Linked DNA regions of Oreochromis niloticus. The protein of the gene in region 3 binds, or shares a complex with, the protein of the main gene of each other region. Links are inferred from orthologs where the notes say so. Each region holds a gene or a part of one and is shown on either strand. Other genes may lie near its edges. The genes, in order: nup54, nup58, nup93 and nup35.

Region 1 (7,923 bases), about 46 Mb from region 3:
AGGCAGAGTGGGGGTTCAAACCAGCTCTATAACTAACCCGTTGCAGGGGGAGCAAAGCTAAATGTTGCCCCTGGTGCAGCAGCAGTTGTCGTTGTTGTTCCGAAGCCACCGAATGTGCCTAAGAAGAAGAGAAAAGAAATGTGCTCAACGAGGCGACAAAACCCCCCAAAAGCAAACCAACAAACAAAACAGGTGAGAGAATGACAGAATGAATTCACAACTGCTACCATTAATAAGAGGAGAATGAGAATTTCACTACAATATAGCGATTTACCTCTACACAAAGGTGAAAGTGTACTGACTCTTCACAGCAATCAAATGAAATGAGTAAAAAAATTCAACATTTTGTCTCTTCATGCAATCACAGCGATGTATTGTGTTCATGAAATGAATCACCAGGTGAAGATAAAACGATCCTTGATCCACACAGATATCAAACAATGGATGGAAATGTAAGTTTACAGACAGAGTGTACTGATTCACAAAGGTCATCTACCTGTGCTAGCCAGGCTATTACCAAAATTGAAAATTGTGCCAGTGGTGGTTGCTGTACCAAAGCACCCCACATTAAAGCTGACTGCTGCCGGGTTTGCATTTAAACCGAACCCCCCAAAACTAAACCCACCAGCCGTGGTGTTTCCAGCTCCCAGCCCCCCAAATCCTGCAGCCAAAGCAGGCAGGCAGCGAGAAAGAGAGAATGACATGGAATTAAATGACACAATGCCAGATTCAGCACGGACTCATTTATTGTAAAAACAGTCTTCAAGTGTCTTAAAAGAAAAGCTACGCGTCTGAACAATGAGCATCTTACCAGTGTTGGTGGAGCCAAAGCTAAAGCCTGTGGCTGGTGCAGCAGTGGTGGTGGTGGCTGCCCCAAAACCAGGGGCTGTTAGAGCTAATGAAGGCAAAGCACACAGAAATAATACATTATATATGCATGGCTTTATTTTGCATTAGTTAGTAAAACGAAACATTAACAGCCAGCAGAAGAGGGTCTTTAACTTCTATGTAGCAACCGCTGAAGGAATTTTTTTTTTAAAAAGGGACCGTTTACTAAAGTGCCCACAATTCCAGTTCCCAGATGTGAGTGAATCCCCAGACTCCCATGATAAAATGCTCAACTTCAGCTATGAAAACCACATTAACAGCCTAGTAGTTTTGGACTGTATGTAACTGTCTGTGTTGAATACTAGTAAGGCCCTATTTAGACAAGATCACACAGGCTTTGAGGCTAGCTGGCAACTACGTGGCAACCACTGGTTGCAAGGGAAAAAAAAAACACATTCCCTGGTTGGCGATTGGTTGCTGAAGACTGCTGGCTGTCACTGAGTGAAATCGGTTGCAACGAAAATGCTGCATCAAAAGCATCTTATGGAAGATGATGACTTGTCTGCAAACACCTAACTACTTGTCGAGTAGTAGTGAAACTTGGAAAAAGTGCGACAAACCAGAAACGCAGTTCTGTTGCCCTCAAATGACATATGCCTCAGCATTTCAACCAATACGTTTCAAAACATACAACTTTTACTCTGAAGGTGAACACTCCCAGTTTACAGTTTGTGTCACACTTTTCGCAGTTTTACTAGTGCATGGAGAGCAGTTGGTGTATCTTCCATGCAAACTATATGCGACCACTTATCTGTTAGCAATCACAAGGAGGCTTTTCAATGCACCACTGCATTCTTCTTTGAGACCAATTTCACAGCAACAACAGCCAACAACCACTTGCTAAACAGTGAGAAAATGCACATTTGGTTGCTAATCCAAATAACCAGACCTCTTGGAGAAGCTCCAGGAATGCTTGCTTTACCACCAATGCCTTTCAGGTGGTGGTCTTCATCAAGCTCATCATGAACTGGACCCCCTGACAATGTTTATAGCGTTGGTGCCCTTTTGAGCATTTTAAAATGAATTTTTTGGCAAATAATATGGCTTGCTGTGTGATACCATCCATCCAAGCAGTTTGGGTTTATGAGTGACATTTGAGTATTTAATTAGTTTGTTATTTAGGACTGATTAGCAGCTGCCTGTATCTGTGAGGTGCACCATATAGTGAGTGCTTAGTTTGCCAGTGTTAAAGCTTTAAAAAGGAAACCCAAGAAACCAACTGGTAGATATGTTCAAAATGCATCGAGAGGTGAAGAAATGCCCAATTTAAAACAAACAAAACAACCCAGAACCTTTGAGCCCTAGACTGAGGGAACCCAGTGGGCTCAGTTATGCTTTGAGGAGAAGGGTTTGGGAAAAAACCCATTCTATGTTCATATTGGTGGCGGTTACGTGATGATAATGCCCCACGCACAGGATAATCCCCGCAAGGAGGAATCTGGGTCTGAGCTGTGGACTTACTACCGAATCCGGATGAGGCTGTGGTGGTAGTGGCTGGGGTCCCGAAGCCAAATGTTGTCGATGGCGTAGTTTTGGCTCCAAATGAACCGAATGAAAACCCGGACGTGCCTTTTAGAAACAAACAAACAACGAGAGAGCGCTGTAAGTACTGGGTGAGTTTAGCTTGTTTTAGCTTACACACGGGCATCCAAAACAGTTAGCCACAAGAGCTCGGTCTCATTGGAGCCCAGATTAGCACCGAAACACGCGAACACAAATCCGACTACAGTTCATTAGTTGCACTGACTCAAGTGTAAAAGCTCTCCGTTTTCACGTGAGGTCTGTCGTTAGCCGGTAGACGAACCCACCGTAACAACTGAGGGTGAACCATTAGCATTGCCATTTCTATTTATAACTCATGTACAAGCATTAACACAGCTTTAGCTTCGACATGAAATATGTAACACATTACCAGCTCTTACAAGTATTTCCCAATTAACTAAAAAATATCCATACTTGCTGCTGGGTTGCTCGTGGCACCGCCAAAATTGAACGCCATGTTGAGTGCTGTCACCACAGACACCTTCTTCTTCTTCTTCGTCTTCTGCTGCTGCTGCTTCTTCGTCTGACTCTGGTCCAACTGGGTGGCACACTACCGCCACCTGCTGTCCCAAAATGTTAATTCAACAGCCGCCGAAACAAATAGAGTACTTTTATGAAAAATATTTGTGGCAAGGAACAGGACCGGTGTTGTGTCAATAAGTGAGATGTTTCCGTGTGTCTTCTATGTGCATTATATTTGATTATATTGGTAAATAGATTGCAATCAAGAGGGGGTATGAAGGGGTTTTATATATAAATAAAGAAATGACCTGCTTTGCAAGTATGATTATTACTCTGCAATACTGTACCAACATTATAAAATATATGTTATATAATTATATCGTTTTTTTTTTTATTTTAGCTTTTTACATTGCAATGGGAATCTTCCTTCTGGAAGATTTTAAGCCAGCATGTCATTTACAACTGTTTAAATCCTGGGAATCAATTTTTGGGCACCCTGCAGATTTATTTTCTACACATGCATGATGGAAATTAGCACATTGCATCTCTATTTATTGAGATCTGGAGACTGTAGAGGCCATTTGAGTACAATAAACTCTTTATGTTCAAAAAATTAGCTTGAAACCATTTGAGATTTGTGAAATGATGCATTGTTCTGCTGGAACCAGAAAATGGGTACACTGTTAGAAGGGATGGACATGGTCAGCAGCAATACTCAGGCAGCCCGTCATATTTAAACAATGCTCAGTTGGTATTAAGAGGCGCCAAAATGTGCCAAGAAGATAACATTACACCAGCACCACCAACAACCTGCCCAGCTGATACAAGTCAGGATGTTTACAACAGCACCATTCAAATGTTGCAGCAGAAACTGAGACTGGAAAACATTTTCCAACCTTCTATTTTCAATTTTGGTGAGCCTGTGTGAATTGTAGCCTCAGTTTCCCCGTCTTAGCTGACAGGGGTGGCATCGCTGTGGCCTTCTGCTGCTGTCGCAGATCTGCATTAAGGTTTGATGTGTTATGCGTTCAGAGATAATCTTCTCCTCAAAGTTGTCTGGCCATTCTCCTCTGACCTTTACAGCTCACTGGATAGTTTTTAGACCCTAGAAATACTTGTGTGGGAAAATCCCAGTAGATCAGTAGCGGTTTTTGATACGGGCGACACGGGCGGTTGCCCGGGGCGGCATCACGGGCAAAAAAAAAAAAAAAAAAAAATTGCTCGTACTCACGCTGCCCCGACATGATGCCAGCGCATTTTGGGAATGTCGTAGGCACCGATCGGTTTTCTATCGCCCATTTGCTGGGAGTAAGGCCGCCATCCGTTTGCGAGGTGCGCCTGCTGCTTGCGGCACAGGGAGGAGAGGGCGGGGCGGCGGGGGATTCTCTGGCTGGCTGGAGCAGCATCTAATAACCAACCCGCAAAATAAAACAAAATAAAAACAAACCAACAAACACGAAAACATCAGACATAATGATACAGACTTATAATTTGCACCGATGTTTTTTCGAAATTCTATACGCGAAAAGTGAGCGCGAGAGCCCTCGGTGCGCCTGCTTGCTGCTGAAGTCAAAGTAAACTTTATTGTCATCTCCGCTACATACAGTCCAGTATATAGAGAGACGAGACGACGAGGCTCCAGTTACTGCAGTGCAAGTAAACAAACAATATAGTAAGAAAATAAATCAATAACAGGGATCAATAACAATTTAAAATTTATAATTTACAATTTGATGATTTAAAGTCTCACACACAACCCGTCGAAAGGGGAGGAGAGCCCTGCTGCTTCCAAATAGAGCACATTTCATTCATAATGTTGTAAATCCAAAAACCATTATGTATTCATGATCTGAATCCTGGGTTGTGTGAAACCCCAGAAATAAACCCCAGACAAAGTGAATCTGTGAACTAAGGTGTAGGTCTATTAGGTTATGTTGTGGTGATCCTCGGGTTGAAGGATGGGTGTTCATACTGGAGTGCAAAATGAAAACCAATGGAAGATGGACTAGAAAAGTTCAAAGCCATCAGGTGCTCAGTTTAGAAAAAAGAGAAAAGAAGAGGAGGAGAAACGAGCAAAAGATACAGGTAAGCAGATGTGTCATTGGATAATGGCAGGTCATGTATCCTGAAACAATCAGAATCAGAATACTCTATTAATCCCTAAGGAAATTATGTGGGTTACAGTTGCTCCAAGAAGAAATGGTAAAAATGGTAAAAAAAAAAAATGGTAAAAATAGTAACAGTAACAGACTAAACTCCAAACATTATGTAACATTTTTTACACATTTACACAGAGGGAGTGTTCGCCCAGGGCACCAGACAGGCTAGGACCGCCACTGCACTGTAAAATGTAATTCTAGATGTTTGTTATTTCAACATATTATTCTATATCAGTTTGACGATAGATGACTGAAGTTGTTGTTATAACATAGAATTACAAGTTAAAAACGTCCCAATTACACCAAAAAAAGCTAACTTGAAAACTCATGTCCAGCTAAATCAGAAACTTATGTGAACTTGACAATGTGGGTAAGTTGAGCACAGCAGGATTCAAAACTGCCTCACGTGACTCCTACCGAGGTGCATCATGGGGAATTGGCGGTTAACGACATGCTCACTTTACTTGGACGTTTTCTAATCGTCTTCTTTGGAATATGCTTTCAAGGTGAGTAACATTGGTTATAACTATAAGGAAAGAGAGCTACAAAAGTTGGAACATGTTTTGAATTTATGGCATGATGTGTGTTTTTCTCTTTTACCGAAATGTTTGCTTTAGCTAATGTAACTTTAGCCGACAAGGTCCAGCTTGTGTGTCATGACCAAACTTGACCTAATAAACTGACACATGGCCTTTTTTATGGGTTTAATGTGGCACTGACCAAATCACAAGTATTGTGCCGCTAGCTTTAAGGTTGTGCACTCAACCACTGTTGCGATATTAGCAAGCTAACTCAGCTAATTAATAAAGCTTATTTCATATTGTCTCTGTACTTGTAAATTTCTTTCAAGTTCACAGGCTGTTGTATTTTGGTGGAAGTTCATTTTGGCAATATTTCCAATAACTGACTGGGTTCAAAAAGAACTTTTTGGCAGGACTCCGATGCTTGTTGTCATCTGTTTACCCCTATGTAATCACTTAAGTTGTTATTAACTGCTGCATGCTAAGCTGCAAGAGTGCACTGAGGATTGAGACAAAATATGGTCTACAAACCAGCATTATATTAGTTTTTATCAGATAGTCCTCCAGTGTGTTTATTTTTTGCTTTAATTCTATTGTGCAGTTATTTGTTACCCTGAAATGCTTTATGCTTAACAACAGCTCACTATTTTAACTTATTTTTGAACTCTTGTGATCAGTATGACTAGATTGTGTGAGTTTCCATACTAAAAGAGCTGTAGTGATAAAATAATTGGCATCAGAGACACTGATTTTTGGCATGGTATACTGCAGAAGTTTTTTGTTTTTGTTTTTTTGCATAATTTACCTTTTAATTAAACTGCATTCTCTGTATTGTAACAAAACTAATATTGTTTATATGTCAGAAAATTAGCAAACATGAATAAATGGCGAAAACAATATAATTATAACATATATTTTTATTTTACTTATTTTAGGTCTGTGAAGCCAAACTTGATGCTGGGGATTTATTTTTGTCAGTGGAGTCAAATGGTAAGTTACAATTTGTGCATTTTGTCATACTGGAAACACCACAGATTATATTGTAACTTAATAGCTCTGTAGAACAAATGATATAAAGATTGTAGTGTCAGGGTACTTCTTAAGAAGTAATATGGCACTATTGATGATCACATGCAGGTGGCATAAACTAAATATTCAGACCTGTTACCAACAAATGATTCATTAACAAAAGCAATGGAGCAGACTGTTTAGGTTCTTGTGGTTGTAATAACATCCATAACTGCAAGTTTGTCATTAATTTATTTTCACAGGTCTAGATGATCACATCTGTCTTTGTCATTTAAATGAGGTGGACTTGCAAACTTTGCACTCTTTTGGGTAAATTGCTGTCCACTACATATACACAGAATCTGCACAGTATTTCAGATCTAAAAAGGGAGTATGTAATGGACTTGCTGGCTTTAATGTAAAAAGCCTGTTGTGTAACTTTAATGAGGCAGTTGGACTAAAACAGTATTGCTCATCAAGGTAAACATCTGAGGAATAAGGAAATTGTTACTTGTCCTTTTACTCAGTGTTCTTTTAATCGCACATTTACTAAAGTTTTACATCACATAAGTCATTTTCACAATCATTCTACTTTAAAAGATTTCAAGACAGAGCTTATTGTTCTGTGAACTTCCTTGTTTGCTGAACGGCAGGTAAAGTGCATCTTTTTGTTTGTTTGCTTTTGTGTGTTTGTGTTTTCTCTAATGGGCCTCAGATGACTGTTTGCTTAAATTTGGGTCTCAAAGAATCTTTTTTTTATTCTGCCTGTACTCTCCACCCCTCTTCTTCTATTGCTCAGGTTGAAGCAGAATTTGCCCGTCTTACATCTGTTGACCTGAAAGGGTTCCTTTTTGCTGTGCTTGACCATTATGGAGAGGTTCGTGGAGCTGTAGAAAATCAAGAGCGGCATAGGAGGGCTGACTAGGCTCATAAAATGCTTCAATGATGATGTAAGTGTTCAACTGCGAAATGTTCTCCTTTGTTTAAGTTTTAGGTTATCCAGTTCAACTGATGAACTCATTGAAAGAAAGCTGATAAGTAAAGTCTGTCATCATATTTCACAACTGGACATTTAGTGTGGTAACTTTTACAGAATCTGTGTATATTGGTGGTAGGTTGGATATCATATTCTACTTGAATGTCCTGATAAGCCTGATTCAAAATCTCCAATGATAATCATATATTGATGGAATTATGTATCAAAAAGCTGTGAATTTGGAGCTGTCTACATGCTTTATAAACACTGTTTAAAAAATGTTTTGGTTTTGTTTTTGACTTCTTTGACCAGAGCCCTACACAAAGGAAGAGGACAGAGGACCTCACCTTCCTTTTCTAAAGGAAGA
Region 2 (7,845 bases), on a different chromosome or scaffold from region 3:
CCCTACCCACATATTAAGTTAAGTTCATCTGAAGTCCAATTTTATATAATTTTGTTTATCTTAGGTATATCTACAGATGCTTTTAGGAAATGAACACTGATATTGAACTTCCTGACTTATATATTTTGCAACACTGCATACACTATATACTGTGTATCCACTAGGGGTTTGTAATGCAAGTGTCTGATTGACTAACTTTTTAATGACAAAAAACGTGCATCAGAAATGGACACCTGTACCAACATAAGTACACTGTTTTTACCTGTGCCGTCTCCAATTTCAGTTTGTCGATGGCCAAAGCTTGGCGCTGCAGACCGCTGGCGCTGACAGACAGAAGCTGTTTGAGGCTCTTGATGTCATCTTGGACTTTAGAAATGGCCTTTGATGACATTCTGCTTATATCCTCCTGAACTTGTTTTTGCTCTTTCACAAATTTTCTGCAAAGGAATTGAGAAAAGAAGGAAATCACTTGTAGATGACATAAAAGCTCTCTGACAGATATGCCAAACTATCAAAATATGCTTTCAAAGTGCTACTACTCAAACTACATGTATGCATCTGGGATTTTACACAGAATGGGGGAAATCCTAGTGACCTCACCAGATAAAATTTGGGTTGGGTCATACTGCTGCATTCAACCTAATAAACACCTGATAAAAATCACACACCAATACTTACTGAAAATTTTCAACATCCTGACAAATAACTGGGGGCAGGTTCTCATCTTTTAGAGCTTTGCTGTCTCTGAGGGTGAGAAAAAATGTTTTTCATCATTAGAACAGAAAGGATAGTCGGTGCTAAACAATTAACAGCAGAGTGAGACACTCATTGTCTCTCAGTAATTTTTTCTCTTCTCTGCATAACAGTGTGGACTCTTTTGTTAGACAAATTCCATAAGACAGTAAAGGACCGCGTTGGGTCACTAGGACGTACTGCGCATTGGCTCCAGAAGATGTGTCGCTCTTATTCTCAGAGGAAGTGCTGAAGTCGACTCCACCCAGGCCAATACTCGGAGCAGGAGGTGCTGATGACGCTGTCGAGGTTGCCAGCAGAGAACCGAACGATAACCCGCCTCCTGCACCGAGAGTAGCCTGACCCAGACCTGCAGCAAGACATAATCATGCAGTTTACAGGACTGTGACAACTAATTAAAAAGAACACACTGTAATTCAAAGCAGTCACTGTACTCCCTTAATTATCGCAAACACTTTGCATATCTAACTCAAAAGAAGTCTGAAATCATCTATCCTAGTGATGGTATTCTGTTAATACTTGGCCATGTTTTAACACATAAGCTCTGTAAAGCTGACAGTTTGCCTCTCACCTGTGGGTCCAGTGCTGGAGAAGAGACTGCTGCCTAGTGATGGACCTGTTGAGGCTGCTGTGGTGGTGGTCGTAGTGCCGCCGAGACCGAGGGCAAAGCCAGTGGCTGTAGGCTGCTGTGGAGCTGTGGAGGTCAGGACAGAGCCAAACGTCAAGCCTGTCCCAGCAGCAGCTGTCGAAGAGGTGCTAGTAGCTGTGAGGGAGAACGGCGTAGCTGAGGCTGTGGGCTTGTTGAAAGCCAAGCTAAAGCCAGTGGTGGCAGCTGTACTGGCTGGGGCACCTGAGAGAAAGTAATTGTGTTTAAAAAACAAAACAAAAACAAAACAAAACATAGTTATTACCTGTTGTTCAGAAACACTTCAACTTCAACTTCAAAATACCCCAGAGAGAACCCCAAACATACCTAATGTGAGGCCTGTAGTGGGCGCAGCAGCACCTGAAATAACACAAGGTCCCAGCATAAGATGGGCAGCTGGCGGAAATATCACAAATAGTTTTATTTCTTTATTATTTTGCATTCTTACTTGAGGCAGGTGTATTGAAGGAGAATCCTCCAGCAGGTTTCTGAGCAAAAAGACTGCTTCCTAGGCCAAGAGATGGGGTGCTGGTGCTGGTACTGGGGGTTGCACTTGCTGTACCCAAAACTGTACCAAAAGAAAAGCCACCGGTATTGGCCGCAGGAGCACTTTCAAAGAAAAAAAGTAATAGGTTTAGGCCCATACATTCTTCTACAATATCTTCTACAAGTTTCAAATTAAGGAAAGATTGACACTGTGTTATGGTTACAGTACACACAGATTAACAACTAGGACTTTGTCAAAGAAAATACACAGGGTCTTAAATTTCTATATAGAAGACCTAAAAGGTGATAAGTGCTTTACAGATGGATGGTAATCCCAACCACATTATTACCAGTTATGAACTAATTTCCCTCTTTTTAAAAAAAGTAACTAAAACTACTAAAGCTTAATTGTTACTTCAAACACTTCTCCTGGTAGCCCGCAGTTTGCAAGAGTTCACTCTACAGTGCCTGCATGTGCAAAGTTTCAAATTATAACAGAGTTTACAAATTTATCTCATTAAAATGCTCATCTATAACCCGACATTGCTGAATAACTCGGGAAAACAACGTACACAGCACTGACTTTGAAACTCGCAAGCCGTATATGCTAACGCCAAGATACCTCTGGTTATGCTAGCGTTAGCTAAGTGGGCTATCTGAAATTTGTCGTTACCTGGTTGCGCCCCCAAATGTGAATCCTCCACCTGTGTTGGTGGACCCAAGAGCTCCCGAACCAAAGTTAAAGCTAGACATTTTCTTTTAAAAGGCACAGTGTCAACACCAATCGGTTATGTGGGCTTAGCTCACTTCTGAAAACATCACAGCTAACACGACAGTTAGCTTAGTCGCCCGCGTGAGGGCCGAGCCCGCGGTCCCGTCTTCACCAAAACATACTTGAACTCATCAGCTCTCTCACTAAATCCCAAAATATTCAGTTGCTACCCGCTATGTTTACACAACCTGTTCCTCCGCTTCTATTTCTTAAACCTGACAATTATCGCAGGGTGCATTCACGCATGGTGTCACTTTTCTTATTCCCCGCCTGGTATGTCCTATATGCTAGTGCATTTTGGGTAGTGGATTTTCTTTTTTCAACTACATTAACCGTCATCCCCGCAGATATAGCGTCTCGTGATGTGTCACGCATGCGCATGGGATCAAGTCTGGCAGTCCTTAGCAGCAAATGTATGTTGAATCCGGTGTTCCTTTCAAAATAAAAGAGGCAGCTACAGACTATAATTACAACGCGGTAGATGAATAGCTCAGAGTACATTAATGTATTTGCAAAATTGAGTATAACTGGTTGCACAATGCTGATTCAAAATTGTCATTGTCTCTGTGAGTTTAAATAATCTGTTACTTACCTGATAAATGAGCAACAGCTCCATCATACTGAACCCGGGGCGGACGAATGGTTCAAAAGTTTGTGTCAGAAATAGTTTTTGGTAACCTAATGAACCAAAAAATTATGAAAACAAATATGTTGCAAATATGTTATCTGAGCTTTTCAACATTTGTTGAATTGTTCCACGTTTTTTCTTTTGGCCCAGAAATGTTGCAGAACATCCAGGTCATCTTTTGCAAACTCTGGAAAATATATTTTATCAATATTAATATCAATTAATGTTTTAATTTCATATAAACATATTAATACATGTTTCAGCAGGGATTTATTCAGATCTTTTGACATTAGGTTTGGGTTCTTTTTTTTGTTTTGCTCTCAGTGTGATATTTGCTAGATGTAACCTGTGCACAGTCCTGAATTTCATCCCTTTGTAGAGGGTGCCAAGAGGAACTGTGGCACTGCATGAGGAAGTCAGCAGTGGCAGGGAAGTATGTGAGGCTGGTGCTGTACTTGTTTTAGGACAGCAATACAGTGGTGAGGTGTGTGGTAGGCAAGATGGAGCCTAGCGACATGGAGAGAAGATCTGGTCTGGAGAGAAGAGGAATGGAAGTCAGAAGAAACAAGACAGAATCTGTGAGAATTAGAGGGAGACATGTGGAATGATAAAGCTGCAAGGAACAGAGGAATGATAATGAAGTTGGATGAGTTTACCTGAGGTCACCCATCCGAAACAATGGACAGATTTAGAGATGAGATGGACTGAACATATACAGAGGAGCAATGCTGTATCTACTGGACGAAAGATGTTGACTATAGAGCTGACAGGGACGAGGAAAGAGAAAAACTTCAGAGGGGGTTTGTAGATATAGTGAAGGGGGGCATGCAGGAGAGATGGGGTGAGAGAGAGGAAGATGATCCGCTGTGGTGATCCATAAGGGGAGCAGCTGAAAGAAGAAGAAGTGGACAGTTTGTCTTTTTGTGGACTGACCCACATCTGTAGAAAGGTTGCAGCAGCCTATTCCAGAGTCATGCTGAATCCTTAGTCTGATACACCGTCAAAGTAGTTATTTAGATAGTCAAAGGATGAACCAATTTCTCTTGAGAAGAGCACACGTTGTAAGTATATTTGCTTTAGTTTGACAACATTTTATAAGTAATCATGCCAATAATTATTATAGGTTGTAATTTTTTTATTATCTTTTATTTTGATTTCATTTTAACTTTGCTTTTCATTCAGTTAGTTTCCCAAAGTAGGTTTGATGGTTTCAGTTCAGTTTTTGTTGTTTGGAAAATGTTTAGTTTTAATCTTTTGAAGTATTATTGTTTTTGGAAAATATATACTACAGGACGGATTTAGAAAAAAAATCAGTGTCAATATTATAACATAAGAAGAACTTTTTGAAAGCAGTTGACTCACAGTCATACAGACATACAGAATCTCAGTAAGCTTGTCCATCAATGGCTCATTCTATTATTTTTCTTAGTTTTCCGAGTTCATTTCAGTTCATTTTCTTTATATCAAAAATCTATTATTGTCTTTTAATTAACTAAAGCGTTTTTCACAAATAGTTTAAGTCTTTAGGTTATATTAATCACGATAACTTCAAATGGCTTACAAACTCTGCCCTACAACCGCAACCACCAAAAAAGTAAAGGAATTCAAAGTTGAAGTTGATCCGGCTTTTATTTTGAAAAACCCCACCTCAAGCGCCGACGTGCTTTGCGCGAGCTTTACGCGGATGGAGTGAAAATAATTGACAATAAACACATATCGTATGCCCCCGAAAAAGTGAAGGCGGCTTGTGCAGGAGTCGAAGCTGTCACATCACCAATGATACATTTCAATCCGGAGGGTTTCGTTTGAAGCTTTGCAGTCGCTGACAGCTGTTTCGACCCGGGGGGGGGAAAAATGGAGCATATCCGAACGCCAAAGGTAGCTAACGTTTCTTGCTAATTGCAAATGGATGGGATACAGTCGGCAGCTGGGCCTTGTCTGTTTGCGATTTTGTTGGAAGGCTCGAGTGAGGCTCCGTTTTCTGGCCATCAGTGTTCAGAGTGAATTTGTGTGAATCGACGTTATAGCGTGGCGGCTAGTAGGTGTCGCCAACGACTCCAAGTGTCAGCAGACGTGACGAGCATCAATGAGCCGTTTGTTTTTTCCCGTTCATCAGGCAGATCGGCTTCCTCTATCTAATTTTACTACTTGCACGCTCTGCTATTTGTTGCGACAGATATCCACTGTCAGTACAGCCATTGAATTCAGTGTGATTGAAGAAGCAAGGAGAAGCCGGACCATATCCAGCACAGACACGCAGGGCTGACTTGGACTGTACGTCAAATAGGGCCATCACAGTTTTATCATCGGCATAAAACGCCAGACAGTGAGCTCACTGCCCGGGCTAAATCACTCCAGATAGACCAGATTAAAAGGAAAGCAACCAGCTGAAAAAGGCGAGAGTCGAGGAGTGCTGCAGTACAAGTTTAGCCCTGCCAGGCCTGTACTGCTAGAAAATATACTGCTGTGTGTGTGCGCGCAAAAGAGCTGATCTCTTTAACCCTTAAATCATTGATCCTTTCAAATCTAATCTACAGCCATTCAAAAACAACCAACAACAGCCAACAGTCCTAGTACATATAACCTTTGTAATCTTCATAATTCTTTTTAGTCTGCCACATGGTGGCTGGGTGTGCTTAATGTTATCTAACGTCTGTGTTTTTGATCATGTTAGGAAGCAGTATGACACGATTCTTGAGGTTCAAGGACAATTGTGTTATTTGTCGGTGGGGAAAAAATAAAGAAATGCTGAGATCTGGTATGGAAACAGACGGGGAACACCCATGCAGAATGGGTGTTCCCCGTCTGTCTCCACACCTTTCAGTGGTTTGTCTGGTTTAAAAGTCGGAGGAGATTATTATTTGATGTTATAGTGTTGAAAACAAGCTGCTTGTTGTAACAATCTGGGTGGTTTAAGTTGCATAGGCACGTAACAGAATGAAACACAAATCCTAACATTAACTTCCCTATAAGATGGTATGAGGTGGTCTCTGTCCTCCCTCTCTCTTCCCTTTCTCTCTAACCTGCTCATTTATTCTCATGCAGACACACACACAAACACACACACACACTCAGCTGACTTCCTGTATGTTCCAAGAAGCTGACTTATGACAGAGCCGCGACCCGCAGGTTGCTGAGCGACCTAGAGAGGCTTGATCGTTTCATCATATCTCAGCAAACGGAAACAAAGTGGAGGATGTCTGAGTCAACCAGAAACAGCTAATGTGATGAATCATGGATTCGGACAGGTAGTGCTAACAGCACTGCACAGTCCAAAAATCAGTGACTTTCCAAATGCACTTTGGCTATAGAGTGAAGGTGGCAGGAGCTTTTATTTTGATATGTCTTGTCTCTGTGATGCAACAGTGCAGAGCAAAGTCCAATGGTGATATTGTTTGGGTTTGTTTTATATTGTTGTGACACCAGTCTCATAAAGATCTTTAGTAACGTTTTAAAAAGATTGTGCTGTATAAAACTGCTTTCATTCATTTATTTATTTTTTTCTAGGATGAAAACCAGAAGCACATTAAAGGTTTTTTTTAAAACCTGTTATAGCTATTAGACCTAAGCCTTCTTCCTGTGTGAAAACTCGTGACTTGAGTAAATATATAACTCACTATATCTGCTATATCTGCATTTATGTGGTATTAGTGTTAAAAGTTGCTACACTTTCACTGTTGCAGCAATTGAATATAAATTTTCAATAAGGAAGTAAAAACAAAATGAACTGTGTTTGACTTTAAGCTAGATAGGATTGTTTAATTAAGAGGCAGGTGGTTTATTTATTAAGGCAGTGGCAGCAAATGTCACTTGTGATTGCACTTATTAAAATTAAACTGGCAGCTGATAGTGAGGGCCAGGTGGCCAGGATTAATTGGTGTGCTAGCCGGAACTGGTGCCAGTAATTTTTCTGTCAGGTGTCAACCCTGCTCGCAAGATGCCGTCTCTTGTAGTCTCAGTGTATCCAGCAAGAGAAGCAAAGGGTGCTCCTGATTATTTAGATATTACCACTATGTACATCTGTTTTTGCAGGTGGAGCAGGTGCGGCTGTTGGATCGCTTCAGCAACAAATCCATTCACGGCACTCTGTACCTCACAGCCACGCATCTCATCTTTGTGGAGAGCAACTCTAACAACTCGGCCTCTGCTGGACAGGAGGTCTGGGTGAGTAGTTTTTGTGCCAACTATGCTGCCCATTAATGCAGGTTTCAGAGTGCTTGCATATGGATGTCACCTCAGCAAATGCACTGTTGTGCAGAGGCAGGAGGATAGCAAGTGCTCACAGAACTTTTACCTCCTGTTGCCAGTTTTCTATAAATTGATGGTGCAGTTTCATGCAAACCAAGTGTGCTCTTTAGACAATTTGGTCCTCTTTTTAGTCTACTAATAAATATTTATTACCCTGCAAAATGTTTTTATGTTTTTCACTCCTGCTACACCTCTGTGAAGGTTTGCTCTGTGTGTGTGGTTTAAAACCCCACCTTTCTAGGCTTTGTGTCTAGGGGTGTAATTCTTGCTGGGGTTCAAATCCCGGACAAGCCCCCAATTGTTACAACCTCT
Region 3 (7,105 bases):
ACAATGTGAACTTGAAACCAATAAGATTTTCCATGAATGTCATTTTTCTTGACTGTCCACAAAAACAGAGCCTGTGGGTCACACAGCAAACCCAATTTTCCACTGGAATAATTAACTCGTTGGCTTTGTGTACTTATTTCTGTTATCTCTTGAATCTTTGTTCTGTTCAGCCTCCAGTTATAAATTTCAACATTTTCAGCCTTTAACTAACAAACTTCACACTTGCTCAGTTTTTATCAGGCTTATCTTGTCAGTGGGGACAAATGCAGACTTATTATCTACAGTTAATTACTTTCAGACCTTAGCCACAAAACAAATTTAATCCTCACTTCTAAATGCAGTTTCTCTGTGAGAAAGTGAAATATGCACACGCTTATTAAAAGACTAGGTACTAGTTTCTTACCATCTATCAATGGATTATTTCTTATTTCACTCCACAAAATACCTCTCAGTGCTCTCAGTAGTAAGCGAGTCTTCCTCTAGTGAACCAGTTCATTTAGGTTAAATAATACTGCATTAGCAGCTAGCTAGCAGCTAGTTTATGATACCTGTATGTCCGTGTCTTTGACCGGCTCCAGGGGCTCAAACGTGGTGGCAGCGCTGAGACTTTCTAGCCTCTGAGAAATGTGGAAGATGTCTAAACCTCTGGAACCAAGGAGGATGGACCTGAGGTGAAACAGAAAGGTGATGAAGGAGTGACTGATAAATAACTGTAGTTGCTCCACACGACCACTAGAGGACGCCGAACGCTTTACCACCGTTACAGAAACGATCTTTACACTGTACGCACTGATATGAACTATTACACAGCAGATCATGTATGTCATCACATACATCACAGAGAGAATTTCAATCTAATATCAATGCAGTTTTAAAATAAATAGACTAAATCCTTTAAATATCACTCAAGCTTATTGATTAAGGAATATATTCTTTAAATCTTTAAAACCAAACATGTAGTTTATAAATGAGTGCGTCTATCATAGAGGTTAATGGGAAACAAATGAAAAATGATTTTATACATTTTATTTACATGAGAATTTTGCAGTAAGATATACTACATCACACCTTTCAGATACACATGAGTCTGTTATTATGAATCCTATTATTATTATTAGGACTCTTACTACTATACATAAAAAGGAACTCTTCCCAGGCTCTTGGGGCTCTTTTTTCATGTTGATCTTTAAAAATGCCTTGTGTGACTGTTTACTATACAACTTTATACACATAGTTAACCATTCATTTGTTTTTTGCCCCCCAGTTGCTTGTGTATGCATTGGCACATGTATGTATATGTGGGAGTTTATATGGAATGGATGGAGATATAAACAAACAAACACGAGGATCGCTATTACAGTTATCGTAGATGACATTCTTATTATTATTTAATATTACTATTGCTATTTGCACTCCTCGTCCTTATATGACATGACCACGATCAGTATGTGGTTAATCACACTCCCAGTACCCTCACCCCCAATCTATACTTTTTATTTGAACTTGTCCTGTTTGTCTATGCTCTATGTTTCATGTCCTGTGACACTGGTAACTTATTATCTGTTATCAATTACCATTTTTGCCAGTAGCAGTAATATTATGATTAACAGTGGGACATTTTCTGCCTATCTGCACATGCTGAAGTTCTTATTTCATACTGTTCTTGGTTGTATCTTGTTATTTTATAGTTCAGCTTTATTTTGTTGTTTGCTGGTTTTACTCTGTGACTACTAAGTGTTTTTGTTTCCACTCTTACTGCACTGTGCAATAATAGAAACCACAAGAATTTCCCTCAGGAAAAATAATACAGTTCTCTTATATTTCTTACGCTTTTACGTCTGCAGCATCTTGGGAGGTGCGGGTCAGTGTGCGAGATCGAAGCCTCTCCCCCGCCTGCTGGATCTCCTGAAGGTTCCTTTCCACATGAGGAAGTTCAGACACTGCTTCGGTCTCAGCAGCCAGCTGCTCTGCCTGCTGCAAGAGCTCCCCAAATCCCTCTGTATCCATGCTGCTATAGAGAAACAAATGAAGATATTTACATGTAACATCATCAGAGGTGAGATGAATAGTGTACAGTGGTTTGGGGAGCTATAATTTTAGGGTGCTCACATCCTTTTTGGAAAAAAATGTATAATTGGCCTGGATAATTTTACATAAATATGCTGCTGTTATTTTAGATTCCTAATCAACATTGTACCTCACTGACTAAGGTTTTGTATGTATTTTTTGTTGTTCATTTTCAATTCTTAGAAGAAGGGACTGGGTTAAAATGTACTGCAATTCCTCAACTGCGTGGACGGAGATTTACACAAATTCAGAAGTAAACGTAAAGTGAGCACGTAAACGTCTAAGACGTAATATAGCTGAGAACTGCCACAACAACAACAACAACAACAACACGTTTAGGACTAGGGCTAGTCGATAACATACAAACTGTGAATAACATAAACACCCATGTACATAACGACATACAGCTGTGTGAGCTTTCGGAAAGTTGACAGCTGGAGCGCGCGCATGGAGCGCTGTGGTGTTAGCTTAGCTGCTATAAACTCGCTTTAGGAATAGCAACAAAAATGCAGTTTCAAATGAAATTTAATTCCGGCTGCTGTGAAGTGGCGTGATGTGAATCACGATAAAAACACGTTTGAATTCATTTTATTTTATTGCAGTGCTGCCCTTTTGGCTAAGCTTCGTTAGCATGCTAACATGTAGCTACAAGTCAGAATGAATTACACTGTGCAGCGTTAGCTAGCATGCTAAGCTGCTATTATTCTTACATATTCTTAGTGTTGCGTTAACTCAAAAAGTTCATTTTGCTAACGCGGCTGGAAGCAACCACACTTCATACCTGTTGTGTGAGGTGGGAGAAAATACGGTCCTGTTTATACTCCACGAGTGAATGTATTGACAGTTATTTTCTGTTACTCCGTTTCTTCAGCATGCAAGTACATTATTTGCCCCGACCGGCACTTCTGGAGTCGATCGTGATTGGACAGTCCTGCGTCCCTCCCGGAAGTTCTTCTTCTTCTCCAGTTTCAATAACGAACAAACTAATATTAACGAAGCATATCGTCACCTACTGTCATAATTGGGGTTTTTTAGGGCCCGAGCACTAAAGGTGCGAAGGCACTATTGTATCTGCTCTGTGTATTATCATTGTTATTATTATTAGGGCCCGAGCACTTCGAGTGCGAAGGCCCTATTGTATCTGCTCTGTTTCTTCTTCTTCTTCTTCTTCTTATTATTATTAGGGCCCGAGCACCGAGAGTGCGAAGGCCCTATTGTATCTGCTCCGTTTCTTATTATTATTATTATTATTATTATTATTCAGGCAAAACAAGGGCCTTTTTGAGGGCTTTAACATGCTCGAAAACTCTTGAAATTTTGCACACATGCCAGGTCTGGTGAAAAATTTTGTATTTTAATGGTTTTACATAGGAGCACTGGGAAATGGCTCTAGAGCGCCACCTATGCGCTGTTAAATGCAGCCTTACGACCACATCGTTTGGGCTACATCTATGAAATGTGGCACACATGTGTATCATGCCGAGACAAACAAAAAAGTCTGTGACTACATGTGACGCAAACCCAACAGGAAGTCCGCAATTTAGAAGTGAAGGTGACATTTTGGCTCTAATTTTGCCATTTCCATGCCTCGAACTTTTGCGAACTCCTCATTGGAATTTCATCGTACAAGCTTCATATTTGGTCAGTGTCAACTACACACCTGGGCCATGTTAAATTGCGGAGCTTTTGAGTTTTCGGGATACGGTGACGCCGTGGCGCCACGGCGAATTTCGATGACTCGCCATGAAAATCTTATTGCCTCTCGTTCTGTCATACATTGTCCGACCTTGACCAAAGTGGACACATATGATAAGGCTCCAACCCTGAACATATTTCAACTGCCATATTTGACATCAGGTACAGCGCCACCTAGTGGGAACAGGAAATGTCATGTTTTACACTTTGGGGTACAGTATTGTAATGGGTGACATCTGCAGCCTCAAATTTCTCCAGGAAAGCCTTAAGGAGTTGGTCTTGGGTTCCAGAGAAAACTGTGAGTTTTCGCTGAAGGGTGTGACCCCAGCAGCATGGCGAACATTGAGGTCTCGCCATGAAGAAACAAATTAGTGTAACTCAATGAAATCCAATCTGATCAGTACCAGATTTTACAGGGATGATGTCAGACCCGCCCTGAACAGATTGATATGCCCATTGTCAGGAATACGTAGAGCGCCACCTAGTGGCACCAGGAAATGTCATGTCTTTCATTTTGTTGTACTGATTTTCACAGGTTCATCGTGGCCACCTCAAAAGCGGTGAGTATCACCATCAGTCCTTCATGATGCTTCTGTGCGAAAATTGTGACTTTAAACTGAACGGCGCACCCTGGTGGCAACGCGGTTCACCATGAAAGACGAAGTGGCTTTTGAGGGGCTTGGAAATTTTAAAAAGTCTTGGAATTTGGCCCAAACCTCCAATGTGATGAGGGCTTTGTTGTTATGTGATCAGTTTCCTTGAATAATGCAAAATGGCTCCACAGCGCCCCCTACAAAATTTCAAAACATCAGCCCCTGCTCTGTGTTTTATTTATAAGTCTGAAACCTGGTAAGCTTATGGAGGATATCAAGATGTACAAACAAGTCTCTTGGAGCAATATCCCAAATCCAACAGGAAGTCAGCCATTTTAAAATTAAGGTGTAATTTTAGCCACTTTTTCGCCTCTTTTCAGGCCTCATACTTTGACGAACTCCTCCAAGGGATTTCATCAGATTAACCCGATCTCCTGTGTGTGGAATCTAAAGACCTTTGTGATGTTAAATTGCGAAGGTTTTTACGTTCAGGGAAACGGGGTGGCCATGGCGGCACTTGGAGTTTCAATCCCTTGCCAAAAAGCAGTAATCTGCTGTCACTCAAAAACACAATGTCCAATCTCTCCCAAAGTTCGCAGGCGTGATGAGACTCAAGGTCGGAAATGTTTGTTATCCCATTTGTCAGTAATGGTTAGAGCGCCACCTAGTGGGACGACTATAATAATGATTGAATGAGATGAATCGTTAGCTGGTGGTTCTAGGCATGAATTCCATCAATGTGACATCAGATCGGACGTGCTGGTTGTAGGTGTTGGGCGTGGCCCGACGTGCCGGGGTGCGAGGGCCCTCATAACGCTGCTTGCAGCTTTAATTATTATTATTTCGGCAAATGAATCGGCCTTTTGAGGGCCTAAACATGCTCAAAAACTCATGAAATTTTGCACACTCGTCAGGTCTGGTGAAAATTTACGTATTTTAATGTCTGTAGACATGTCCAGGGAAAATTGGCTCAGTAGCGCCACCTAGAAAAATGAGAAACGCGAGCCCCCGAGATGGGTATGACCTACATGTATAAAACTCGGAACACATATCTAACGTTCGGAGACGCACAAAAAAGTCTATTATGGCCATGTCCTAAACCCAACAGGAAGTCCGCCATTTGGAAGTGAAGGTGACATTTTGGCTCTAATTTTGCCATTTCCATGCCTCGAACTTTTGCGAACTCCTCATTGGAATTTCATCATACAAGCTTCATATTTGGTCAGTGTCAACTACACACCTGGGCCATGTTAAATTGCGGAGCTTTTGAGTTTTCGGGTTACTGTGAGGCCGTGGCGCCACGGCGAATTTCGATGACTCGCCATGAAAATCTTATTGCCTCTCGTTCTGTCATACATTGTCCGACCTTGACCAAAGTGGACACATATGATAAGGCTCCACCCCTGAACATATTTCAACTGCCATATTTGACATCAGGGACAGCGCCACCTAGTGGGAACAGGAAATGTCATGTTTTACACTTTGGGGTACAGTATTGTAATGGGTGACATCTGCAGCCTCAAATTTCTCCAGGAAAGCCTTAAGGAGTTGGTCTTGGGTTACAGAGAAAACTGTGAGTTTTCGCTGAAGGGTGTGACCCCAGCAGCATGGCGAACATTGAGGTCTCGCCATGAAGAAACAAATTAGTGTAACTCAATGAAATCCAATCTGATCAGTACCAGATTTTACAGGGATGATGTCAGACCCGCCCTGAACAGATTGATATGCCCATTGTCAGGAATACGTAGAGCGCCACCTAGTGGCACCAGGAAATGTCATGTCTTTCATTTTGTTGTACTGGTTTTCACAGGTTCATCGTGGCCACCTCAAAAGCGGTGAATATCACCATCAGTCCCTCTTATGCTTCAGTGAGAAAATTGTGACTATAAACTGAACGGCGCACCCTGGTGGCAATGCAGTTCACCATGAAAGATGAAGTGGCTTTTGAGGGGCTTGAAAAGTTTAAAAAGTCTTGAAATTTGGCGCACACCTCTAATGTGATGAGGGATTTCTTTTATATGTTCATTTCCTTGAACAGCGCAAAATGGCTCCACAGCGCCCCTACAAAATTTCAAAACAACAGCCCCTGCTCTGTGTTTTATGTATGAGTTTGAAACCTGGCAAGCTTATTGGAGATATCAAGATGTACAAAAAAGTCTCTTGGAGCAATATCCCAAATCCAACAGGAAGTCAGCCATTTTAAATTAATGTGTAAATTTGGCGACATTTTCCCCTCTTTTCAGGCCTCATACTTTGACGAACTCCTCCAAGGGATTTCATTAGATTACGCGATCTCCTGTGTGTGGAATCTAAAGACCTTTGTGATGTTAAATTGCGAAGCTTTTTACGTTCAGGGAAACGGGGTGGTCATGGCGGCACGTGGAGTTTCAATCCTCGCCAAAAAGCAGTAACCTGCTGTCGCTCAAAAACACAATGTCCAATCTCTCCAAAGGTCGCAGGCGTGATGAGACTCGAGCTCGGAAATGTTTGTTATGCCATTTGTCAGTAATGGTTAGAGCGCCACCTAGTGGGACGACTATAATAATGGTTGAATGAGATGAAATTTAGCTGGTGGTTAAATGCATGAATTCCATCAATGTGACATCAGATCGGAAGCGCTGGTTTTAGGTGTTGGGCTTGGCTCGACGCGCCGGGGTGCGAGGGCCCTCATATCGCTGCTTGCAGCTTTAATTATTAGGCCGACAAAGTGCGAAGCCCTATGTATCTGCTGTTTATTATTATTAGGCCGA
Region 4 (7,354 bases), on a different chromosome or scaffold from region 3:
TAGGACGGAAACCTCCTTTTAAACTAGAAGAGAGAAGGGAAAAATACTAAATGTGGCTGTCTAGTGATTTACAACCATGTTCTAGTTATATTCCCACATACAAGTTGCAAAGTGTCTGTTTTGCAGTTTTATCATCCAGCAGCCACGTCACTATTTGTCTTGTCTATTAACACAGAAAAAATGATCACAGACAGACTTCATCCGTTTTGCCATCTTGATGCAACAAAGTTGCTTTGAAGACAGCAACTGACTGCGAGACGTCCCAGCCCTGCCACCCATCTTTGAAGCAACCAGCCTAAAGAAAACATGGCCTCATATTTGTTGCACACTGTCGCAATAATTATGGTTGTGCCACAATCTCATACCACCATTTTCCCTTAGTGTCACTGTGATCAAACTGCAATCTAAATCTAGGCTAGTCAAAAAGTAAGAAAAGAGTAACATTTTCTAATTAGTGCTACGACCAACACTCTGTTTCCCTTTATAAAACAGAATATGCTTTTTCTGACCACTAACTTTCTAGATAAAAGTACCACCAGGAATTCCACTTCTCCCATTTACAACATCCACTAAGGGCATAAGCGTGAGGAGTGAGAGGATTTTGGGCAGCTGTGGATATAGATCTGTCACTCCATAACTAAGCAGTGAACCAGTGCTACAGATGACAGTAATAATTAGTATAACCAACCTCATAGTTCTGGTCCCATCAAAGTTTGATTGTTGACTTAGCCGGCTAATCCCTCACTTCACTAGCTACAATGACTTCTGTCACCAGCTGCTCTTTTTATTTATTTACATTTTTTTTTTTTAAAGTACTCTCAGGAAGCCATTGTTTTTAAATGTTTCTACAACAAAAATATCCTTGATGACTTCTAGCCATTGCAGCACATAACACAAACATTACTGTTAGAAGTTGTTGTAAAGTCACTATGAACAGAGTAGTAGCAGTGTCAGTGTGTACCTGTTCCTGGAGTAGAGGCCTGACGTGCTGACAGAGGAGACTGCATGACTGGGAACGACTGTAGAGAGAGTTAATCAGACAGAGGAACATAATTTTAAAAAGCCTTTTTCACATGTCATCATGAATTTTGATTAAACACAAGCACTAGCCAGTCATCTGGCCTGTAATGAGCCTTGTCACACTGGGTTTTTTTGGTTTGCATCATTGCCTACTATATGTTTACTTTCATCGTGCACATGATCACCTGCTCAGGAACCAATTGTGTGCCATTCAACCACCTGTATCTATTCCTGAACATCTGTGAACATATGAAAATCATATTGAGCATGCATGATGATGTACAGAAATTAAGTCCCCATGAAATGCTATAAGGCCTCCATGAATCACTACCTTATTGAGGGTAGAGGCATTCCTGTTCGTGAAAGATCCCAGGAGCTATGCTGTCCTGTCCCAAACTAGTCCTGGGTTTGGTTCTTTACTAAATGTGATTCAAAAGACTGCTCTGTGAAGAAGTATGGCCTAGGTGAGCTCACTGGACACAAGGTGACTGTGTCTGACCTGGGGTCGGGGTTCATTGGGGAGCGTCTGATGGCCGAGCCTTCACCCATTTGCATTTCTTAATTCAGTCTCCCTCTCCAAAAACCCTCCTGCTGTTGTCTCAGTTACAAAACCAGGAGGTGGCAGTTTTCATGTGAAAATAGACGGTTTAACAATTCACTTTACCGTGCATGCTTACTCACCTGTCTGTGTGCAGCAAGAGGTGTCGCTACAGTAACCAGGTCGTCATGGATACTGCGAACAGGCGGGGCTCCACTCTTGTCTTTGGGTGTGGGGACAACAGGCTGCATGGCAGAACCTCCACCACCACCTCCTCCTCCTCCTCCATTTAAAATAAGTTAAGTATGAATATCAGTCACTAATGAATCTAAAATATAAGCTTTAGACAACAATCAGGTGTGTCTCTTCTTCCACTCACCTCGATGTGTGCTTGTGCTATCTGCAAGTGGTGAGGCCAAGCTAAAAGGGCGAGGCTGTGGGCTAGCTGGAGCTGGCAGGTCACCCATCAGGAAACCGGGCAGAAACTGAGCTCCAGAGGTTGGCTTAGGAGAGGTAGGAGAGCCCAGGGTCATCGGCTCTGAGCCCACTGAGAGACAGGGATAATTTCATGACAGACGGTCCAAAACAGCCATTAATAGAAATAAAGCTTTAGCGCTTAGATGCTAGTATATTATTAAGAAGCTTCTGATAGCATGTCTATCTCTGACACTCTGACAAGCGGGAAGAAATGCCCCAAATCTAGGTGTTTATTATCAATGTTAAATCTGGAGATGAACGCAAATTGGTGTATATATATTTGAATAATGCTTTGTGTAGAGGAATCTTAGTTACTGAAAAAAGAACGTTCTCATGGTGTGAACTTCATTGTGACCTGTGAGCATTTTTTTTTTAACTTATTCTCTCGTCTTAGGACATCCGCAGTTTATAAAAATGCTAACTAATGATTAAAGTATTCATCAATATATATATATATATATATATATAAATTATACTAAAATACAGCCACTTGTGGTCGACACATGGGCTTTTTTTAATGCTTTACCTTCTACAGCGCCAGAAGCAAGAACATAAGCACCGCTGCTCCAACATAGAGTTGACAGATGACATGCTTGCCTAATAAACCCATAAATGCCGAATATATAATATCATCAAACTGAACGCAACGGGTTAAGATTTCAAAAAGTTTCCCTTACCTTGTAACTCCATCTCTGTTTCTTTCCTTTCTGGCCGCGATTTTCAAAAGTAGGAAGTGACGCTCGGAAAAAGGGATGGCAGCCGGCTAACGCGGCTAGCAAAGCTAAATGATGTGTCACAATAACTCACTGTTACTGCACCGTAAACGCGACTAGGAGTCAGTGCTGTGTTTAAGGATCTAAACTGTTACAGCTGACCGGTTTAAAATCTGCTCTTTCAGTCCAACACGGGGTGTTTCCGGAGCTCAGAGGTGCTGGGAGAAAAGGCTGATGCTAAACTGGAAGTACTACAGCTTACTTCCGGCGAATTTAGAAAGCGTCAATGTGATGACGCGTTCAATTGCCCTGCGTAACATCGTTCATTTGTATTTTTCTAATGAATGAAATGAACGTACAAACAGCGAGGAAGCGGTACAGAAAAATATCTGAGGGCTTTTATTTTCTTACAGTTAATTTTTCCATCAACACGCATACAAGGGATTTGTTTTAATGATGATTTGTTTATTTTGGGCTTAACCGAAAACATTTAAAGGAATCAATAAAATCTATATACTATAGACTATAATTTAACATACTACACTTTTTTGCTTCATGCTGTAAATGCTCCAGTTGTGATTGGTCTGCTGATGTTTCACATTCTGGGTAAAATCTGACCCAGTCACATTAAAGGAGGGAAAACCTGGCAAGCAAGCTCTGAGGAAAAAGGGTGTTTCTGTGCATAGTCACAGGACAAAACTCTCTTGACCACTACAGACTTTATTTCCGTGATTCAAACTGCTATTGGACGGGGAATCAGTGTTGAATGATAACTTCAGAAACAAACAAACAAAGATGATCCATTGTGGCCAGTTCTTAAGGGAACAGCTTTAAAAAAAAGATTTTTGTAGCATTATTAACCCCTTGGTTTGGCCAAACGAGGATTTTCAATGAAAGCACTATAGCCTAAGTACCTGATAAGTCTAACGTAAATGAACTTTTTAAAAGCTTCAAATAAACATCAGCATTTTAGCATCACATTAATAACCTCTTCGGAACCTGTACTGACTGATGGAGTAATTGCATCCACGAGAAATTCATGAAAAGAAAAGCACTAGTAGGAAGAACAAACAAAACATTACTTACAGGGCGTTTACATACACACAGGGAATGCTAGAAAACAAATATGTTGTGAAATATTAGAAGGTACACGCCGGCTGGATTGCTAATTAATTACCCAAAATTCAAGAATAACTAAAATGCATTGATCTAATAACTAAATCAACGTTTTTTAATTGAAATTATATTTCCCCCATTTGATTACTTTATTTTAATTATTTTAAGAATATTTATCTCATAATTATTTTCCGGACACTGAAATTCCGTGGAAAAGTTTTGGAAGCATTGGGATCGCACATCCGCCGACGAACGAACACACCATTTGCGTGAACGTCATCAATATGTGGCTGGTACTGTTAAATATTTGTCAAGTTACTACAGACAACCAAGATGTATCCGGTGGCTAGAGCTTCTGTTATTAAAATACAATTACAACTCTAGCTGGTGGGTGGAACAGCAGCCATCATTAACAGAGTACCACAATGAAATTAGATTAGCGAGCGGCTTTCTGAACATACATACAGTTTTATGTTGTCTGTGTGAGACTCAGAGTGTACCGTTTAGCTGCAAGACCTTTATTGTGAAGCACAATAAACGGAAGCAGCTTGTGTGCAACTTGATGCCGGGTCCGAGCCGGACGCTGATGCGGATCTTCATTTCCAGACTTTTGGAAGTTGGGACTCTTTAAAGGTAACAAAGCCGACGCATTAAAAAATTAATATTGAAATGTCTGCTACATATTACACGAATATTGGCTTTTGCTTCACCAACACGACAGCAAACAGCTCCGTGTCGCAGTGAAGCTAACGAGCTAGTTAGCTGAGCAAGTTGTAACGGGAATAGTTGTTGTTGTCTGGCTGTTAGCTTAGCTTAGCTTGTTTCAGGGGTCCTAATGAAGAGCTAGAAAACCTAACAGAAATGTTTTGTTTTCCTTTTTCCTCTGTGCACACCCAGCAGTGGTAATAACCACAGGCGTGTTAACAGTGCATGTACTTTGATGTGTCACCTTTTTGGCATCTTCTACTGTATCAAGAAAAAGATTTTTCACTAGGCTTGTTTTTCAGAATCTTCTGAAATTTTTATTAAAATATCTGAGTGGTACTATTACTATTTATTTCTTCCTTAATCTTGTAAACAGTTCCCAAATCTACATGGATGCTCTGTTTCTGCTCAAGAATAGAGAAATAAAGGCGTTTACTTTGAAAGCTACCTTTTATTAAATGTAATTACCATTTAATTAAAAGGCAGCTTCGTGGAAGCAGATGCAGCTTTCATTTAAATTTGTGTTTTTTGTTTGTGTAAGATGTAAAACTAAATATGTTGTAATATGTTCCTTTTTCTCAAGGAAAACTGTTGTACTGTAAAAGTAGGCGATCCCCCTGGAGTGACCCTGAAAACAGGGAAGAAATCTGCAGATATCAAAGCAACTGTTTGAATAGTTCAAGGTGCAGGAAACTGCAATGCAAAAGACAATGGTGTGAAAAAATGCTGCTCTTTCTTTTAGCTGCAGACCACTTGTCCTTCTAAAGCCTGAGGCTATATAAAAGTAGAGATAATGCTTCCATCCTTTAAGCCAATCCAAACAGGCCACATATGTAAACGACACTCCTAAGGTGACACGCTGGCTCTCCTGTGGTGACTGTATTTGTTTTTTTCTTGCTGTGGAAAGAAGCTGTTTGCCTCACTTACTGTGATACTAGTGAGGCAGGGGGATGGTAATGGCTACAGGGTTGGGTGGACAGGGTATTTAGAGCTGATCTTTGTGTCTTTCTGCCCCAGTTCCTTTAGTTGCAGCTGCTCGTTGACTCATTGAAGGAGCATTCCCCATGGCGCACAGGGTTGCCCTCAGGGCCCAGCGCCCTCGGTCCGTCTGGCTTACGGTGCTGCCGATGCTCCTCACCGTCCTTTTGGTGGCAGTTTGGGCAGAGGGCCAGGACTACTATGAATTGCTGGGAGTCAGCAGGGAAGCGACGACCAAAGAGATACGACGGGCCTTTAAGCAGCTGGCGCTCACCATGCACCCTGACAAAAACCCTGTGAGTTACATGGACAAACCACAATCCAGAAACACAAAAAAATGACACCGTAATTCTTTGAAATTTGTCGCGTCTCTATGAAACCCTGACAAAACAGGTGCTTATCGACTATTTCAGGGTGACGCCTCAGCCCACGAGAAGTTCCTGCAGGTCAATCGTGCCTATGAAGTTCTGAAGGATGAAGACCTGAGAAAGAAATATGATAAATATGGAGAAAAAGGGCTGGACGAGCAGCAGGGAGGACGCTATGAGAGCTGGAACTACTACAGATATGACTTTGGTAAGTAACCAATGAGATTTGCCATTTGACCTTAGAACTGAAGAAGCTTCTCGGATGAGAGGTGAAACGTCTTCAAGCAACTTAAAGAAGTCCAGACGCTTTTCTTTGCAAACTCCTTTGACTACGATGACCTGGATGACTGAGAACCTTCACAGACATACAACCAATGAGATGTTTCAACACTTTAATGTTTTTACAATGGTTTGTATAGAAATCGTTTTATGAGGATATTGTAAAAAGAAAAGAATAGCTAGCTCTGCTGTGAACAAAGAGTTGTTCAGTATTTAAGTTTGTCTTTCTGTCCAGGTATATATGACGATGATTTGGAGATCATCACGCTGGACAGTGGAGACTTTGGTAAGATATAAAACATATTCTGTTTTTGCTTTAGTGTACAAATGAGAAAAACCTTCATTCTTTTTAGTTTGTTTGATGTTTTCCTGTCAGAAAATGCCAACACGTAAGAACTATCTAAATTTAAAGATTTCTCAAATTTATTTTGATTGGCTTTTGAAATCTTTTTGAGGAGAAATAATGGGAGTTGTCTTTATGTCTCAGTCATTAGTACAATCTCTTCTTTATTTTCACACCTCCTGACTACTGTTTTATTTTCAGTTTTTGTCACTCGGTTGGAGTCAGTCATATTGAGTTCCATGCAGATGTTGTTCTTGTTTAATAACAGACATCATATATTGCATAAGGAACTTCAGAGGTGTCAAACACATTTTAGTTCATTGGTCATACAGATCCTGAGCTAATCTTAGTTGTGCTGGAACAGAAAAACAGTGCAATGGCCCCAAATAACCAATCAACTCACCAAACAAACAAACATCTCCAGTTTGTTTGTTCTTGTATAAAAACATTTTAGCCCATTCTCAAATGTTCACATTTAGTAATCCACAATGAGCAGTCTGAGAGGACTGAAGAAAAATCATTTTGTCTGAAAGACAAATTACAGTACAAAGTCCAAAATCTAATCTGAAGTTCTCGCCCCTCAGTCTTATGTTTGACATCCCAGATGCACATTTATACACTTGTAATTACTATGTGCGGTTCCACACATTGTAATTGTAATAGTCCTACATACACATTGTAATTGTGTGTGGAACATCAGGTTCTATTCTTTCATAATGGATGTGTTTGGCTTTTCTTCTGATTTCAAACTCTCTGCTCATGAGTGAAGAGGCCTGAAGAAGCTCTTGGTTGTTTGTCTTGAGTGCTGGATTGGTTC

Evidence for each region.
Region 1: nup93 (region 3) and nup54 share a complex: the UniProt entries of both Homo sapiens proteins name them as parts of the p62 complex. The link is inferred for Oreochromis niloticus from reciprocal best matches to the Homo sapiens genes NUP93 and NUP54.
Region 2: nup93 (region 3) and nup58 share a complex: the UniProt entries of both Homo sapiens proteins name them as parts of the p62 complex. The link is inferred for Oreochromis niloticus from reciprocal best matches to the Homo sapiens genes NUP93 and NUP58.
Region 4: the proteins of nup93 (region 3) and nup35 are in contact, whole or in part, in a crystal structure (PDB 7MW1), measured with the Homo sapiens proteins. The link is inferred for Oreochromis niloticus from reciprocal best matches to the Homo sapiens genes NUP93 and NUP35. Residues at the interface, in NP_055484.3 of Homo sapiens: Tyr266, Tyr269, Asn402, Ala407, Asp408, Lys409, Thr410, Glu411, Tyr413, Tyr448, His452, Phe453, Val455, Asn456, Leu461; in NP_612142.2 of Homo sapiens: Ala88, Pro89, Pro90, Val91, Arg92, Ser93, Ile94, Tyr95.

What each region holds. Positions count from the first base shown.
Region 1 is NC_031972.2:17,440,393-17,448,315, reverse strand, and holds the start of nup54 (nucleoporin p54), read right to left. Parts: upstream 3,005-7,923; 5' UTR 2,888-3,004; coding exon 2,845-2,887; intron 2,458-2,844; coding exon 2,350-2,457; intron 896-2,349; coding exon 812-895; intron 662-811; coding exon 497-661; intron 119-496; coding exon 38-118; intron 1-37. UniProt on the Homo sapiens protein: Component of the nuclear pore complex, a complex required for the trafficking across the nuclear membrane.
Region 2 is NC_031974.2:22,932,751-22,940,595, reverse strand, and holds the start of nup58 (nucleoporin p58/p45), read right to left. Parts: upstream 3,015-7,845; 5' UTR 2,639-3,014; coding exon 2,559-2,638; intron 2,009-2,558; coding exon 1,848-2,008; intron 1,760-1,847; coding exon 1,727-1,759; intron 1,604-1,726; coding exon 1,325-1,603; intron 1,103-1,324; coding exon 934-1,102; intron 745-933; coding exon 679-744; intron 438-678; coding exon 263-437; intron 1-262. Other genes in the region: phosphatidylinositol-3,5-bisphosphate 3-phosphatase MTMR6, read left to right, coding at 5,140-5,163, 7,318-7,449. UniProt on the Homo sapiens protein: Component of the nuclear pore complex, a complex required for the trafficking across the nuclear membrane.
Region 3 is NC_031972.2:63,343,204-63,350,308, forward strand, and holds the start of nup93 (nuclear pore complex protein Nup93), read right to left. Parts: upstream 3,017-7,105; 5' UTR 2,849-3,016; intron 2,012-2,848; 5' UTR 2,008-2,011; coding exon 1,829-2,007; intron 667-1,828; coding exon 549-666; intron 1-548. UniProt on the Homo sapiens protein: Plays a role in the nuclear pore complex (NPC) assembly and/or maintenance. May anchor nucleoporins, but not NUP153 and TPR, to the NPC. During renal development, regulates podocyte migration and proliferation through SMAD4 signaling.
Region 4 is NC_031987.2:30,648,344-30,655,697, reverse strand, and holds the start of nup35 (nucleoporin NUP35), read right to left. Parts: upstream 3,018-7,354; 5' UTR 2,726-3,017; coding exon 2,713-2,725; intron 2,106-2,712; coding exon 1,938-2,105; intron 1,842-1,937; coding exon 1,702-1,841; intron 1,020-1,701; coding exon 962-1,019; intron 1-961. Other genes in the region: dnajc10 (dnaJ homolog subfamily C member 10), read left to right, coding at 5,634-5,843, 5,961-6,123, 6,430-6,480. UniProt on the Homo sapiens protein: Functions as a component of the nuclear pore complex (NPC).